2 linked regions of the Arabidopsis thaliana genome follow. The protein of the gene in region 1 interacts with the protein of each later gene in a pairwise test. Each region holds a gene or a part of one and is shown on either strand. Other genes may lie near its edges.

Region 1 (9,810 bases):
GAAAGATCCGACTTGTGTATCTTAAATAGGAAATAAAACATCGTATACTACGTATCAAAAACATTCACGCTTCACATTAAATGCTAACTAAAATTACAAAAGGGATAAAATCACAATTGAATCCTAAACTCCAAGTTGTAAGGATAATTAAGTAAAATAAAACAAGGCACGTGCCAGTCAAATGACGGTTATAACCCTATCACGTGGTAGTCAACTCGCTTTACAGATATTCCGAGAGTGAGGTCCCACAAAGTCACTTGCCATTACCCTCTCTGTATTAGTTAGTCGTAGTAGTCTAGTAGTAGTTGTTAGCGCGTCAACTCCACTTTCTAACTGTAAGCGCGTGAAGAACGAAACCTTTTCCCCACCACCACCACCACCACCTCTCTATACTACTTCTTCTTCTTCTTCTTCCTTCTACAAATACATGACAGTCTCTTTCCCTCGTCTTCTAGTATTTTTTTGTTTTCTGTTATTTTTCGCCTGAGACTGGGTCCCTGAGATTTCACAAAACTCGTTATTGAAACTTAACAAAACAGCAACCTCCGTTATTAAAGTTCCCTTCTCGATTTCCGTGAAAATTTCACTTTAGCCATGGAACCTCCTAGTAGCGTAGTCGACGATGCTGAGTTTTGGCTTCCGACGGAGTTTCTCACTGACGATGATTTTCTCGTTGAGAAGGAGAATAACAGTGTAGGAATCGATGACTCCTTGTTCCCGTACGAGCCTCGTCATGGATTTGGGACTTTTGGCTCTACCGTTAAGCCTAACACGGTGAAGGAAGATGACGAGGAGAGTTTCTTAGCCGGATTGACTCGGCAGATGGTTATGTCATCTCTCAAAGATGATTTCTCCGGTGGAGTTTGCGGTAATCACGCTTTTCCGGCCGGTAATGACCACAAGGTAGTTTGATTTCGATCTAAAACCAAATTCGTTCTCAATCTTCTCTGTTTTCGTTGGATTTTTAATTTTTGGGAATTTTGTTCTCCGTGGTTGTTCAGGCGTGGGAAATGAATCGTTCGCCTCCGTGTGTCGCCGGAACTGGCTGTTGTTGCTTGAATCAGCGGTTTAACCAGAACCTTAATTCGCGAGTTTCTTCATGGGATCTGTACTGTGCTGCGGAGAGGATGAGTATCAACGACGAACCATACCATAGTGGCAGAGGACTTCTCGGATCTCCCGCAAAACTTTCCGCTACCGTCAAAAACCACTCTAACAACGGCACCGGTTACTACAACAATCATCAATCTCTCCAATACCAGAAGCTACAAGCTATCCAGGTAATCAATCACAAGCAAAACTCTCTTAAACACTTGATCTTTGAGTTTTTGTGTGCGATTGTGCTGATTGGTTTGTTTTCATTTGTCTTCTTGTGCAGTTTCAGCAGCTAAAGCAGCAACAGTTAATGAAACATCGTCGCCAATTGGTGCGTCAGAACAGAGGAGTAAGAGTTAATGGCAACAAAAATGTTGGTCCAGTGGATTTGTCGTCTTCTGCATGGTCTAATCAGTTTCCGAGGCGTGATGTTATGAGAGCTGTATTCATCGGGGACCATACCGGAAAACGTGGCTCAACCGGAACCGGTGTCTTCTTACCTCGAAGTGTTAACCATACTTCAAGAACTGAGACTCGAGAGAAGCCTAGTAAGTTCCTAAAAAGCTCAATTCCCCAAATGTCAATCTTTGGTATATTTTAGTTTTATGATGAGAACTGTTTTTACTCTTGGGTTTAGCTATATCGACGGTTTTGGTTCCGGCTAGACTGGCTCAGGTCCTGAATCTGAATTTAGGCGAACCGGTCCGGTCTACGGCTACTCTCAACGGTATACCAAATTAATCTCAACCTCGAGAGCTTATTTAAGTTAATTGAGCGGTCAATTTTATCACCAGTTGGTTTAATTTTTTTGTTAATTTATGTAGATGTGTCGTGGAGACAGAGGAGCAACAATGGTGGGTTCTCGAGCCAGATGGTCGGTGGCGTGAGGGCGGAGCAGTCAGTGCAAGAGCCTCGGTTACCATCGGAGTGGGCTTATTGACTGATTTTATGTTCGTAACTTTTGGGTGTGTTTAGGGGGAAGATTTTATGATGGGTTTGGTTTGAAGAAAGATTAGAGTTGATGACAGGTAGTGAAATAGTGGAAAAAAGGTTAGGGTTAATGTAGAGATAGTGGAAGATTTGGAAGAAGAATAAAGAAAGTTGGAAGTGTGGAGAGGACGAGGTTTTGGATCGTTTAACCACCATTGATGGCTTGATAGATGAAGAAAAGAGCTTTGAGACAGACAGAGATAGGTGACTCTCTTTTCTTTTTTTTTGGGTTTTTCTTTTTTACTTTTTTACTGGGAAATGAAATGTCAGTCTGTCACGGGGCTGTTCCTTTAGTGTCATCCCTCTCTGCCTCTCTTTTGTTCACACAACTCTTAAGCAATGGATAAGTAAGTAATTAGTAAAAGAAAAGTTTGTTATATGATTTTGATTCCCACATCAGGTGGATATATATTTCCTAAAATCTTTGCATGCGAAATCATATTTTGATGAAAAAATCAATACTAAGAAAACATGTACTCTTTTTTTTTTTTTATTGACAGAATTTGACAATCTAATTTTAGAAAAGAAATTCTCACAAACCGAGAGATAACAGTAATAAGTAACAACAACCCATAACTGGGTAACACAAATTGACGTCAAAAGGCAAAAAAAAAAAAGGGGGGTAAATCTGAGGAAAGAACATCCTAAATTCCTAATCAATTTGGTGTCAAAACACAAATTAGTTTCACAAGTATGTATTATCATACACTATAATTTCGATAAATATTAGTATATTACTTACTAAATCCACTAAAAAAATTTACTATGTTCTTAAGAAAACTTACCATTGAGACTACTACTGACAGTCTGACAGAAGTAACCAATACAAAAAGATAAAAAGGTGATATGTACTATATACCCAAAACCTAATGAGCCTTGTTATTAGCAACAAAACTCAGGTCATATAGTAGTATTTAAACAAGTGAAATGGTAAAATCGTATAGAAAGGAATTTGGCAACCTATTAATTAATGGATCATTAAATATTTAGAAGCACACGAGCACTTAAATAACTCGATTTTTGATTAAATGCTGAAATGCTGGTCTTCTTTGTGGATCAACGTGCAGAGTTTGTCCTATGCCATTTGTTACTCCAGATTAATAAATATTGACAACTTCTATTAGTATTGAAATTTGAGTTGTGGCAGCTGTTTTTAGTTGTATTGGTTTTCTCGGTGTTTGTTTCCAACAACTAGTACCAAATCATCATGTCCAGTTTTTTTATTATTACTAGTAGTATTTTCTTTCGTCGACCTATATTATTGTTTCAAGTTTTGTAACCACATAATCTAATTAGCACAGTAATGTAGTCATCAAATAACAATTCGTCTTGCTCGAGTCCTGAATCCAATACCCTGATCTAAACCATTTTCTATGGGAGTATGGGAATGGGACTCACATTTTCATGTGGGTGTTTTTGTATGTTGACTGCTTCACGCGGTTCGTATCGTTCTACTAAATTATTGGTAATTGTTCGGATATATAACATTTATGAAAACCATTTGCACTTTCACATGACTCGCATTAATGCCACTTTCCTCATTTTCCATAGTTCACATAAGAACAACATAGTACATATACTATAAACTATGTGATTGATTACTATTTTGAAGAAAATAAAGCTTGCATACATACAGGTTTCTGTATTCACATTTAGATTTTCGGATTCACAAGCTCGAAGTATTCATATTTGTATTTTCAAGTTATTTTCTCTGTGTTATACTCGGAAACCACATTGGCCTATCTAATTAACAAAACATATGATATGCTTAAATGGCATTAAATGCTAATATGAAAAACATGTCCTATGGATTATTGGTAAGTGCGAGATTTAATGAAAGTTACAATGCTTGATTTCTTAAAGGTTACAATTTCGTACTATTGAAGACAAACTATATTTGCAAGAGAAGAAATTAGCTACCAAAATTAATACAGTATAGTATTCCCTCTTCTGTCACTATCTGTTCACTGCTTCTGCAAACCAATATTAAAACAAGTTGACCTATTTGCAACTATCTGTCTCCAATTATGTTTCAATTTTTGTGTATTTTGGATTTTCTTTGCTCGGCCTTTTTCCTTATATGGATTCTGAATGCTAGGAAAAAACAGAATAGAGTGAATTGGTTCTCACATGCATAGAAGAATTTTCAAGAGAAACATATTTGCTCAACTAACAACTACCAACCCATCACCAAATTTTCGTTTCATTTGTTGTACAAATTATAGACCCAAAAATGTTCATCCACAATCGATTGAGGTACCTCATGTACACCTATATTAAACATACAACATAATTCCAAAATGGTTTGGATCCGGTCTGGTTTTTTACTTTGAGGCAAATAACATTAGATTATTTAAGATTGAAAGCTCACAACTAGCCTTCTTTTAGGGCAAAGTACACGTAACCAATTTTTTAATTTTCATATCGAACTTAACAAATTGTAACCATTTGCAAAAATGAAGCAAACAAAAAGTACAAAACAGATTACATGGACTATTATATAATTGGAAGCCCGTTTGGCCTTAAAGCCCGTTAAAAAAACATATGTGTATTTTTTAGCAATATGTCTGATAAAAAAATTTAAAAACTAATCTTGTTTAATTCAGTAAGACATTTACTAGACTTTTCACAATTCAACACAGTTGTTGTTGGTTGAGCTACCCAGCCAGTATCAAGAGAGGAAGGTAGAGAGGAGTGAGAGAGAGCTTTGGGATCGATTTCATGTCGTAGATCTTTCACTCTGGGTTTGCGTTCCACAAAATCCTAATTCGCGGAACTCTGGATTTGATCGGCGATGGCGGTAGGCGATCAGACGGAGCAGAATTACTTGCCGAAGAAGAAGAAATCCGAAACGGAAGATGATAAGAGGTTCATGATTGTTTTATCTTCTTTGTAATCTATGTTTGAATCAGTTGATTTTATTTTGTTGTTGCTGGGAGTAGTGAGTAGATCATTAATTTGAGAAATTGAATGTGGAATAGGAGGAAGAAAATTGTTCCCGGGAGCTTGTTGAAAGCTGTGGTGCGACCTGGAGGAGGTGATTCGAGCCCCGTTGATGGTGATCAGGTTAATAATTTTGGTTTTGTTTTTGCTTCTCGTGGTCAATTTTGGTTGTTTATGAGTGTTTTTTCGTCAGGTTATTTATCACTGCACTGTACGGACACTGGATGGTGTAGTTGTGGAATCTACGAGGTCAGAATCTGGAGGTGAGATTGATTGATGAAACATTTCTCAGTAGGGTGTTGCTTTTAGCTTTTTGTTAGGGGCATCGTTGAATGTGTTGTTTGATGTTCCTTCAGGGAGAGGTGTACCGATCAGAGATGTCTTGGGAAACAGCAAAATGATTCTTGGATTGCTCGAAGGAATTCCCACGATGCACAAGGGTGAAATTGCAATGGTAACTCTAAAAACTCTTTAAAGATCAGTGTCGCCTCAATGATAACGTTTGTGTCTCTTTACTCGGCTGCGTAGTTTGGGTTCTGAAGAGGGTCTTGTTGATTTACCTCAAGTTCAATGAGTCGATTCGCCAAATCTTCCATTAGCTATTTCAACTTACTTTCTTGATTCTCAACGGCTGAAAAGTCTTTATCTTTTTCCTTTTTTCAGTTCAAGATGAAACCTGAAATGCACTATGCAGAGATTGATTGTCCAGTCTCAGCTCCAGAAAATTTTCCAAAAGATGATGAGCTTCATTTTGAGATTGAGTTGTTGGATTTTTCTAAAGCCAAGGCGAGATCTCATCACTAACCAAGATAACAGTGCATTAGTTAGCCGAAAGACTCTGAAATTTTGCATTTCATCTGTTTTGACTTATGCTTTCCTTTCCTTTGTGTTAATTTCCAGATTGCAAGTGATGATCTGGGGGTCATCAAGAAGGTAGGACCTGATTTTCCATATATGTAGACATATCAAATGGGTCAGGGATGATGTATTTCTTGTTCGTACTGATGGCTCAAGCATTGCTTTCCTTTTCTATGAAAGATTCTAAATGAAGGTGAGGGCTGGGAATCTCCCAGAGAACCCTATGAAGTGAAAGCCAGGTAATTTATTCTTGATCATTCCTGCATTTTGGGTCAAAATATATTTAACCTTGTTTTTCCATTTGGGGCAACGTTGAGTGAAGTTTTAATGCATTTCTGTGGTGTATATTAGAATATCTGCTAAATCCGGTGATGGACACGTGATCTTCTCTCACACAGAAGAACCTTATTTCTTCACATTTGGAAAATCTGAGGTAATTGTTAAGTTTATGGGGCAGTTTTTACTCTCTGTCCATGCAAATCCATTCTAGTGGAATACATTTCTGACTATTGCTCGTCAATTAGGCAGGTGCCTAAAGGTCTTGAAATCGGAATTGGAACCATGGCTCGGAAGGAGAAGGCAGTGATATATGTTCGCAAGCAGTACTTGACTGAATCTCCTTTGTTGCATATAGATCAAGACCTTGAGGAAGTTCATTTTGAGGTTGAACTGGTACATTTCATTCAGGTAAGAAAGACAAATGCAATGCAATAAGAAAACAGTATTTTGTGCATTTAAGAATTGGGAAACTGAGCGACTGACATTCAAGTTCTCGCTTTGAAGGTGCGGGACATGCTTGGAGATGGACGTCTCATAAAACGTCGAATTCGAGATGGAAGAGGTATGTTTCACACTTTCTTTTCAACTGTCTCTTATCTGTTTCAACATGGTGCGGGTTTTTGTTCTTATATATCTTGCTGGGGCATCTGCTAGATTCCAGCTCTTGTTTATAGTTTATCCGCTAGACTATTCTGATCTACAACGTTTGACCAACTTATTAGGCGAGTTTCCAATGGATTGTCCTCTCCAAGATAGTCGTTTAAGCGTTCACTACAAGGGCATGCTTCTCAATGAAGAGAAGACTGTCTTCTATGATAGCAAGATTGACAATAATGATCAACCGTTGGAGTTCAGTTCAGGAGAAGGACTGGTCAGTTACTCCAACGTTTATAGGAAAACCTAGTGGAGTTCTTTAGACGTTTTAGTTGAAATATATCTCTACGCACGGACTGGTTAAGATTATTCTGTCGTATTTGCAGGTCCCTGAAGGGTTTGAGATGTGTACTCGTTTGATGCTACCTGGGGAGATTGCTCTTGTTACATGCCCCCCTGATTATGCATATGACAAATTTCCGAGGTTATACTCTTAACTGTGTAAATAACACTAACACGATAGTGTATAAACTGTTGTCGGAGAAATAAACGCATTTCATGTTTTCTTTTCTGATAGACCACCTGGCGTGTCTGAAGGTGCACATGTTCAGTGGGAGATTGAACTCCTTGGTTTCGAAACGCCAAGAGTAAGTTGGTCTAGTGTTGATACTTACCATGGAAATTGTAAACAGCTTCCGTTTCTTATAAGTCTAGAGATTCTGTCTCAGGACTGGACTGGCTTGAACTTCCAGAGCATCATGGACGAGGCAGATAAAATCAGAAGCACGGTATGGATAAAATATTCTGCTACCATTTATAATTTGACCTATAGTCCTAAATTTTTATCACTTCAGAATTTGCTATTAGCTAATCTTTTCTGCAATCAGGTCACACCAGATCTATTAATTTATGGTTCTTCTCTCCTTTTGGTTATACTATGAACTTCAGGGTAATAGGCTTTTCAAAGAAGGAAAATTTGAGCTCGCAAAAGCAAAGTACGAAAAGGTAATAGAAGTCATGTGATAACCAATTCCAGTATTAGCATTTGTTTCATTGTGTCTGAGCGGTAAATCCAAAACCAGGTGCTCCGGGAATTTAATCATGTTAACCCACAAGATGAAGATGAAGGAAAAATATTTGGTGACACAAGGGTGAGTTCCATCTTCTCATTACGTTTGTAGTTGCAGATACGTCTAGATTTGATAATATTAGAAGTATTAAGTACTAACTAGCTCTCGTATCCTTGCTCTGCTGATATTTGAAGAATATGTTACATCTGAATGTTGCGGCTTGCTTGCTTAAAATGGGAGAGTGGAGGAAGTCTATAGAGACATGCAATAAGGTAGCATTCAATAAACAATTCTCTTAAGAAGGCTTGATTCTGGAATAAGAGGTTGGGATTTCTGAGACCTTTTGTGCACCAATTTCCAAATAGGTTCTAGAAGCAAAGCCTGGTCATGTGAAAGGTCTATACCGCCGCGGAATGGCTTACATTGCAGGTGGAGAGTATGATGACGCTAGAAATGACTTCAATATGGTATATTATGCTAAACCTGCATATCATTATCTAGTGAATAGATTCAGAAATCTGCTTACTCACTGACTTATGTGTCTGTGTTTTAGATGATCAAAGTGGATAAATCATCAGAAGCTGATGCGACCGCTGCTCTATTGAAACTGAAGCAGAAGGAACAGGTCAGTGTTTGAAAACTATCTCAACCAAATGTCCACCCGAATCGAGTTCATTAAGGCTACTTATGGTTTGGGCTTGTTTTGCCAATTTTGTTACTTAATATAAGATCTCTGAGTTGTTTTCTTTTGAGCTCACAGGAAGCGGAGAGCAAGGCTAGAAAACAGTTCAAAGGATTATTCGACAAGAGACCGGGGGAGATAACCGAAGTTGGTTCAGAAATAAGAGAGGAGTCTAAAACTATAGAAGAAGTAGATGAGACAAAGGATAATGATGATGATGAAACACTGGAAGAAGAAGGAGCTACGACAGTGAGCACGGAAAGGAAGAGGAAATGGTCGGAGAAAGCCTGGCCGTTTCTGAAGAACGTGATGCTCCAAATCGGAATCCAGCTTGGTGTTGTTCTGATAGGGATTTTGATTTTCCAGTTTGTGAGCGCCAAATTTACATGAGAGAGATATGAATGAATAAACAAACCAACGGCACTGTAGACTCAGAAAATATAAAACTAATGGATTAAACGTTAAGCTTAATGTATTTTTGTTTGGTTTAGTTTATGAAAGTAGTTGCTCAAAGATGGAATTATTTGCACCACTACACGATCCTCTCTTGCTTCCTCAAGTGATTGGTGTTTGTTTGTTTCATTCAAATTCTACGAGATGATGACAAGAAAGAAGATGTTAATGTAGAACATGACTTAATTGTATAATCTCCCAAAATTTATTCATTAGTCATCTTTTTATCCTATAGGTAATAGGATTATCCTACTGTATAGATTGTTGTAATGATTAGTGTTAGGTTTTTGTTGAAAAACAGTATCTACTTTTCTATTTTTTCTACTTTTAGTATAAGATGTTTTGGGAAAACGAATTATTTTACAAAGAAAATGTTTTGTACATATGCAAAATATGTATATAAATATGCTTTAACGAATTTTATGTTGTAGGAAATGTGTGATTATATAAATCAACTTTAGATAACACAGAGTAATTAATCCCACCCACCAATCATCCACTCGGCTGAATAAAATGTCGCCACTTTTAAAAACAAAAAGAAAGATTAAACCGTTTTCTCCGTGTGGAACTCGCGTTTTATCGTACACCCAAAACGTTGCTTAAATTGATTTTGCAAAACGCTGATTTTGCTTCTTATCGGAGATTTTTTTGGGGGCAACGGAGAAATTTGTTTTAGGGCTTTTTGCTTATCATCGTCGTCTCAGATCCTGCTAAAAGGAAAAATCTTTTGTTCTAGATTTCTTCACTCTCGTCTTTTGATCTCTTGGGTTTTTCCCTGTTGGTGTCACCATCGTTCTCGTTTCTTCGATCGATCGTTGAGTCACCGGCGTTAAGCCCGACTTGAGT
Region 2 (7,572 bases), on another chromosome or scaffold:
GTGATGTAAGTTACAATATTTCTGAATGGTACCTTCCGGTTTAGAGAGAACCTTGAGTTGCTAAGGGAGATATCCGGTTATAAAACGGTTCATGCGGCAACCTTGTTTATCATGCGGCAACCTTGTTTGTCATGCGGCATGATCTTTGTCAGCATTCAGCATGTATGTTGGGATTTAGACTTTCTAAAATCTTATCTAGCACTAAAGTTTTGACATCAGCCTTATTTGTCTATATGTATGGGTGACATGGTAATAATTTCTTTAACTAAATCTCTGGGATGATTTTTTAAATTAATTTGTAGTTTCTTTAAGAAGTTACACAACATGAGGTTATAACAATTTTACGTGACATATTTATAACTCACAAATGAACTATTTTTTGTTTTTTATATCTCAGGTGATCGTAAATGCTTTATAATCTCGGGATATGGAAAACAATGTTAAATTGAGCTATTTTGTTTTTGAAATATGAAAATTCATAGTTTAAAATTTACACAATCGATATAATATTCTACAGATTGAGAAATTTATTACCCGTATATAATGATAAGTAAGATTGATTTCAAGAACTTTTGGATCATGAGTCCCTCTATTTTGTTAGTCTTAGTTTAGGACTCTTCAGATTCAAAGTTTTATATATTAAAAAAGTAAATAGTTTCTAAACATGAGTGTTATATCATCGATCCAAACAATTGGTTTTGACAACGTTGCACTATTTAGGTAAAATATGCATCCATGGAAACCAAGATTAATAAACATGATGTTTCGAAAATATTAAAGAAAACTGCAATAGAGAAAGAAAAAAGAAAAAAAACACAAAGACCAAGTGAGATCATGTTATTGCGTAATACATGTGGATTGCGTAGTTTGGTAATGATGTTAGATAGTCTATGCGCTCCAGTGCTCCACAGCAACGGCTAACTTCTCGAACACACGCTCCTATTTTCAACGTGCCAAAGTTAGAGCCTAGCTTTGATTATCTTTTCTGGTCTATACTCATATTTTGCTGCTCCATGTATCCACCATCTCTTTTACTGGGGCACACTATATATATGTAAAGTGCTTTTACTGATAAAAAATAGTAAACAAAATGATATTTTAATCTTTTTACGTTCTCGTAGTATTCTTTTGTCCAGTCTAATTTACAAAGACTGAGAACATTCATTCTTCACTTAATATTATATAGTGTTGGTGCCTTGGTGGTATGGATGATTGATATGCTGAGAAAGCAAAGCATAAAACATAGGTCCAGGCATGTCTGTTCAATGTATGATATCTCTTTTAGCAACACTTTTCTTCTATCCTATCGGAACTGCAATTACTTTTTTGGTGTCATTCTCATTCATGTGCTTTATTTTATAGGAAATTTTAATTATTTGAAAGAAGTTTCTATTATTGGCTGTTAGTAAAACCTCTAAAATTAATCTCACTACTATGAATCAGCATCTATAACTTCATAGTATATCACCACCACAACTATGTTTTTTTTGTTAAATCCCAAACTGTTATTAAATGTGAAAGATCTTTAATCAAATACATATAGACAATCTCCATTTGTATAACCTTATGTTTATTTCCTTTTAGTTAATTAGCTTGAACTAAGTTTCACAAATTACATTTACATCTACACATTCACATGCACATACATTGAATATCAACTAATTTTAAAACTGATTAGTTAGTATACGTTCGGAGTAGCTAGACAACTATAGACATCATGATTCACATTTTTCAATAAATTGATTACTTGATGATACAAATGTGTGTGTTAACGGCTGGAAAACATACAAAGAGGGACATCATAGTTCATAAAGGTGTTCCCTTTATATATAGTTATACATAGAATGTGGGATAATCATGGAGCCGTACTAATCACTCTATTATTTTCTTTACAAAATAAAGTAGAAGTAGGGGTATTACTTTTTCTACTCCAGCTTACTCTTGTCTACTGCAACTATTATTCATTCGACTGGAACCATTAGCTCATACATATCTTGTATACAATTACTTAAAAATTTGTATTGTAAATGATAATCATAAATATACATTTTTGTTTGGTAATTATAATCATATTAAATATAGTTAATTGTTAAAGGTCGGTTAGTTTGTCTCATTCCTTTTGAAGTATGAAAATCACAAATTTTCATTAAGAGAAAACGAAAAATAACAAATAAAACAGCTTCTTTTAATATTAAAGTTTTTTTCTTGAAAAATTGTAATAATAATATGTGAGCTAAAAGTATATAAAAATTGGCATAAGTGCTCTTTCGTTATGATAAAGAAAGTGCATGAATTTCTCCGCAAGAGCTAATCTTTTGCACATTTGTCATCATCATTCTCAAGTTTTGTATTTTCCCATCATTCTATATCACTTAAACTATTCAACATTGATTTTAATTCACCAATAAATGAAAACAGAAATTTGTATAAATAAAAATACTAATAAATTGTTGATCTCAAAAAAAAAAAGTTGGGATATTTATAGATAGATACCAAAGTCCAAAGGTCCAACTTAGGAAGCCCGAATCTTCTATCAACGTCTCTCACAGTCCCTTTTCATGCTTTCACACTCTCACTGCTCTTCTCTCTCCAATTCTCTCATCAATCTCCGCAAACTCTTCTCATTCTTGATATCTCCATTACCAAAAGTAAACTCTTGTCCAAATTCTGCTACTTTTTTGTACTGATTCCTCCGAAATGTCGGTGGGATCTCTTTTATTCATGTTTCTTCTTATCTGGAACTTCAATGGCGAATTGAATGCTCTAAACGACGAAGGGTTTGCTCTTTTAACTCTGAAGCAGTCTATTTCAAAAGATCCAGATGGTTCTTTAAGCAATTGGAACTCAGAGAATCAAAACCCTTGTTCTTGGAATGGAGTCACTTGTGATGATAACAAGGTTGTTGTCTCTCTTAGCATCCCAAAGAAGAAACTTTTAGGTTATCTTCCTTCTTCTCTTGGTTTACTCTCTAATCTCCGTCATTTGAATTTGAGAAGCAATGAGCTTAGTGGGAACTTACCTGTTGAGCTTTTTAAGGCTCAAGGTCTTCAAAGTTTGGTTCTTTATGGGAATTTCTTGTCTGGGTCCATTCCAAATGAGATTGGTGACTTAAAGTTTCTGCAAATTTTGGATCTTTCTCGTAATTCTCTTAATGGGTCTATTCCAGAATCGGTTTTGAAGTGTAATAGGCTTAGGAGCTTTGATTTGAGTCAGAATAATCTCACTGGTTCTGTTCCTAGTGGATTTGGTCAGTCTTTGGCTTCTTTGCAGAAGCTTGATCTTTCTTCTAACAATCTTATTGGTCTTGTTCCTGATGATTTGGGGAATTTGACTAGATTGCAAGGAACTCTTGATTTGTCTCATAATTCGTTTAGTGGCTCGATTCCAGCTAGTTTGGGGAATTTGCCTGAGAAAGTTTATGTCAATCTAGCTTACAACAACTTGAGTGGACCAATCCCACAAACCGGTGCTTTGGTGAACAGAGGACCAACTGCATTCTTGGGGAATCCAAGACTCTGTGGCCCTCCATTGAAGGATCCTTGTTTGCCAGATACGGATAGTTCTTCAACTTCTCACCCTTTTGTACCGGATAACAACGAGCAAGGTGGAGGAGGGTCAAAGAAAGGAGAAGGTTTAAGTAAAACTGCTATTGTTGCAATTGTGGTTTGTGATTTCATTGGAATCTGCATTGTGGGATTTCTCTTCTCTTGTTGTTACTTGAAGATTTGTGCACGTCGTAATAGTGTGGATGAGGAAGGCTATGTGTTGGAGAAAGAAGGGAAAGAAAAGAAAGGTTCCTTCTGTTTCAGAAGAGATGGATCAGAGTCCCCTTCTTCGGAAAATCTTGAGCCACAACAAGATCTTGTTCTGTTGGATAAACATATTGCTTTGGATTTAGATGAGCTGCTTAAGGCTTCAGCTTTCGTTCTTGGAAAAGGCGGGAACGGGATTGTGTATAAAGTTGTCCTCGAAGATGGTCTAACGGTCGCTGTTAGGAGACTGGGAGAAGGAGGTTCCCAAAGATGCAAGGAGTTTCAGACAGAAGTTGAAGCAATTGGGAAGCTAAGGCATCCGAATATCGTTAGTCTTAAAGCTTATTATTGGTCAGTTGAAGAGAAACTTCTCATCTACGACTACATTCCTAATGGAAGCCTTACCAATGCACTCCACGGTAAACTATAAAACCTTTATGATAATACTTCTCATATCGTTTCTCTGTCTTGAAAACTCAATTTTGGTTTTTGTGTATGCTTAGGAAATCCTGGAATGGTGTCATTCAAGCCTCTGTCTTGGGGAGTTCGGTTAAAGATAATGAGGGGAATCTCAAGAGGGCTGGTGTATCTTCACGAGTTTAGTCCTAAAAAGTATGTTCATGGATCTCTGAAACTCAGCAATATACTGTTGGGACAGGATATGGAGCCTCATATCTCGGATTTCGGACTTATGCACCTCTCTAGCATTGCTGGAACATTGGAATCAACTACAGTTGACCGACCATCCAACAAGACCGCCTCATCGATTGGATCATCTGCAAACTTGAGCTCATTTTATCTGGCTCCTGAAGCCACTAAAGCAACAGTGAAGCCATCACAGAAATGGGATGTATACTCATTCGGAGTGATCTTGCTAGAGATGATAACGGGAAGATTACCGATTGTTTTCGTGGGTAAATCGGAAATGGAGATAGTCAAGTGGATACAAATGTGTATCGATGAGAAGAAAGAGATGTCAGACATTTTGGATCCTTATTTGGTGCCTAATGACACAGAGATTGAAGAAGAGGTCATCGCCGTGTTGAAAATTGCAATGGCTTGTGTTAGTACTAGCCCCGAGAAACGTCCACCGATGAAGCATATCGCTGATGCTTTGACCCAAATTTGCCTTCAGTGACTCGTAACAAAAACGGTTGCAAGTCAATTGTGTGTATGTAATGTGTTTAAAGGAAAAGTCTTACTGTTGTTGTTAGTTCCCCTTGTAATATCGAAATCTTATGTTACTTCAAATAGAGTTTCTTTGTAACATATAGCTTTACTCATTTTCATGGTACATACTATATGGATAAGCTTCATAATCATAAGGTTACACATTTATGATAAAAGTATACTGACGTCACACACAAAAGATAGATAAACCTATATATACTGATCATGGTAAGTCCTTATTTATGGAGTTTAATTATAGAAAAAGAGAATAATTTCTCTGAAAATTCATAATTTTCTTATGATCAAAAGGGTAATGTTGAACTGAAATTAGGAGGCTGTGTTCCAACGCTTTCTCTTAAAATCCTTTCCATCTCTGCTGCACTATGAATATTCCCTCCCTGTAATCATTTTTTTGTTAATACAAATCCATGAAAATGTTTTATCTTATTATAATTTTAATCATGTAATATTATGTGATAGTTACCTGAAATATATCCGTTGGCTCAATATCCAAAGAATTAAGGTCGTAACATGCACTTGCCGCTGAGAGTTTCATGGACAAAAACTGTAGTCAAGAGGCCAAAGCAGGAAAACATTTAAGTATTAGTGGGATATTATAAAAGTTAATGGGATGTTTGAACTTTGAAGAGTGAAATCAATGGCCTAACTAACCTCGATTTGATTCTGGAGTGATCGTACATAATCTATGATGACATCAAGCATCACTGCCATTCCCATTGCCTGCATCACGTTTTGAATTATCATTATAGAGAATAAACCCATTTTGATTTATTACTGTGGAAAAAAAAAATCGCTATACAAAAAAACAATCTGTTCATTTACGTAAGAGACGCTGCCACACCCTTTTAGATTTTGGCGTTCCGAAAAAACAAAAACAAAAACTAATTATTTCTATAGTTTTAAAATATTCTATCACATGATTCCTAATTTTTTACACTTTAATTCAATGATACATAGAAAAAAAATATTAATAGTTAAAGAATTGTGAGCTTGAAAAATTATCTTTAAAAAGTGTTTTTAAACCAAAAAATAGCACCAGAGTTACTTGGATTTAGAGGTAACTAATTTATCTAGAGTTACTTGTTTTTAGAGTTTTGTTGATTTTATTTTAATTACAAAACAAAAATTAGGGAGTTGTAGACAACAAACAAACAAAAAGAAATATTAGGGTTTGCGTTAATTCAAGTACCTTGTAGCATCCTGGAACAAGGTCTTGTAAGCATTTCAGCCTTTCATTGATCTTCTCTCTTCGTACCTTTATGCATTCCACAAAGAATCCAACACAACTAAGAAAAGTGAAGTTTTTTGTACTTTTGAGTATATATGTATTTGTAGAATTACCCTTTCAGCCAAACTATGGCTATCAGTAGCTTGACCTCTCTTAGCTCGGACATGAACAACATCTTTTGGCTTCTGAGTCTCATCTCCATTCATGGCTTCTTCCTCTTCCGACCTCTTTCTTCTTCTCTTCGACCCACTCTCTTCTTTATTTCCTTTTCTTCTCGTATTACCTGCGATTTCTAGCTTCATCAGAACACACATAAACATAGATATAACAGTTTTTCCCACAAACAATAAAATTATAAAATTTTCACCGTGCAATAAATTTGGGAAGAAGTGAGAATTATTGTGATTGGCATCAACTAAAGCTCCATTGGAGAAAAGCATGAAACTGGAAGGGGTAGAAGCTGGTAAGTCCAGATTTATTAGCTCTGGATTTTGGTTAATGTGTGCAAAGAAAGGATCATGACCATTATTATAGTTATATGGCTCAAACCGTGCCATTAGAGACACTACAAATTAAATCAAAATATGATTTCCTTTTTGTGAGCTAGTTTTGTTTTTTTTCTTTCTCTAAGACAGTTATAAAACTTGCAATTGAGTTGTGATTGTTTATATAGATAGAAATGTCTAAGATGGGGTGAAATATTTAATAAGTTAAGTTTTTAAATGATTTGGTTATTTGCTCATGTATTGTGTGACTTTTGGTGAGAATGAGAAAGAAGCGTGTGAGACCAAAGAGACACTCGTAGCTAGGTTTCCATTTATCACTGTGCAGTAGATTTTGTGGGACCCATGTTCAATGTTAGATATATCTAACTTGTCGGGACCTTTTGAGTATCCCTTTTAATGTAACAAGTATGGTGCCAAATTGAAACCGAAGAAATTGCATTAATGATCTACGAGCGATCATCACAAGTTTTGCATTATTAGGCTATCGGACAAAACTTAAGTACGACGACTTAACATTAAGCGGCTATCTCGGCTAGTTGCCGGAAATACTTACATTGTTTTTGGTAAAACTTTTGTTTTATTATTATTATTATTATTATTATTATTATTTAAAAAATTTGGACCATTTGTGTTTTTGGTAAAACTTAAATCGATATTGTAAGAAAATAATAAATATTGTAAGAAAATAATAAGATTTATATAATATTTTCTCAAAATAAGTTAATATAATATTTTCTCAAAATAAGTTAAGTGTGAGTTTTGAAGTGGTCTAGGCAGTTTCAAAGACTTACAGAGGCTGTAGATGGCAAAACTAAAATAACATAGTAATCAAAAGGATGCATATCTTAGTTTGAAGGTTTGGATGGTTGGAAGAGACTTAAGAACCTAGAGTGGA

What was found.
Region 2: the proteins of PAS1 (region 1) and AT1G25320 interact in a protein complementation assay, tested with the Arabidopsis thaliana proteins (one large-scale study listed by BioGRID).

What each region holds. Positions count from the first base shown.
Region 1 is NC_003074.8:19,996,163-20,005,972, forward strand, and holds PAS1 (FKBP-type peptidyl-prolyl cis-trans isomerase family protein), read left to right. Parts: upstream 1-4,658; 5' UTR 4,659-4,879; coding exon 4,880-4,953; intron 4,954-5,066; coding exon 5,067-5,151; exon of another isoform or gene 5,152-5,221; coding exon 5,222-5,291; intron 5,292-5,384; coding exon 5,385-5,482; intron 5,483-5,691; coding exon 5,692-5,814; intron 5,815-5,928; coding exon 5,929-5,961; intron 5,962-6,066; coding exon 6,067-6,125; intron 6,126-6,237; coding exon 6,238-6,319; intron 6,320-6,414; coding exon 6,415-6,573; intron 6,574-6,669; coding exon 6,670-6,727; intron 6,728-6,887; coding exon 6,888-7,036; intron 7,037-7,145; coding exon 7,146-7,243; intron 7,244-7,336; coding exon 7,337-7,406; intron 7,407-7,487; coding exon 7,488-7,547; intron 7,548-7,707; coding exon 7,708-7,764; intron 7,765-7,841; coding exon 7,842-7,910; intron 7,911-8,023; coding exon 8,024-8,101; intron 8,102-8,194; coding exon 8,195-8,296; intron 8,297-8,382; coding exon 8,383-8,454; intron 8,455-8,589; and 3 more. Other genes in the region: AT3G54000 (TIP41-like protein), read left to right, coding at 595-903, 1,002-1,280, 1,379-1,643, 1,733-1,822, 1,920-2,035. UniProt on the Arabidopsis thaliana protein: PPIases accelerate the folding of proteins. It catalyzes the cis-trans isomerization of proline imidic peptide bonds in oligopeptides. Essential protein regulating cell division, adhesion and elongation throughout the plant development and embryogenesis.
Region 2 is NC_003070.9:8,875,291-8,882,862, forward strand, and holds AT1G25320 (Leucine-rich repeat protein kinase family protein), read left to right. Parts: upstream 1-2,499; 5' UTR 2,500-2,697; coding exon 2,698-4,171; intron 4,172-4,255; coding exon 4,256-4,890; 3' UTR 4,891-5,098; downstream 5,099-7,572. Other genes in the region: CES (basic helix-loop-helix (bHLH) DNA-binding superfamily protein), read right to left, coding at 5,225-5,320, 5,407-5,487, 5,595-5,663, 6,133-6,198, 6,285-6,454, 6,539-6,728.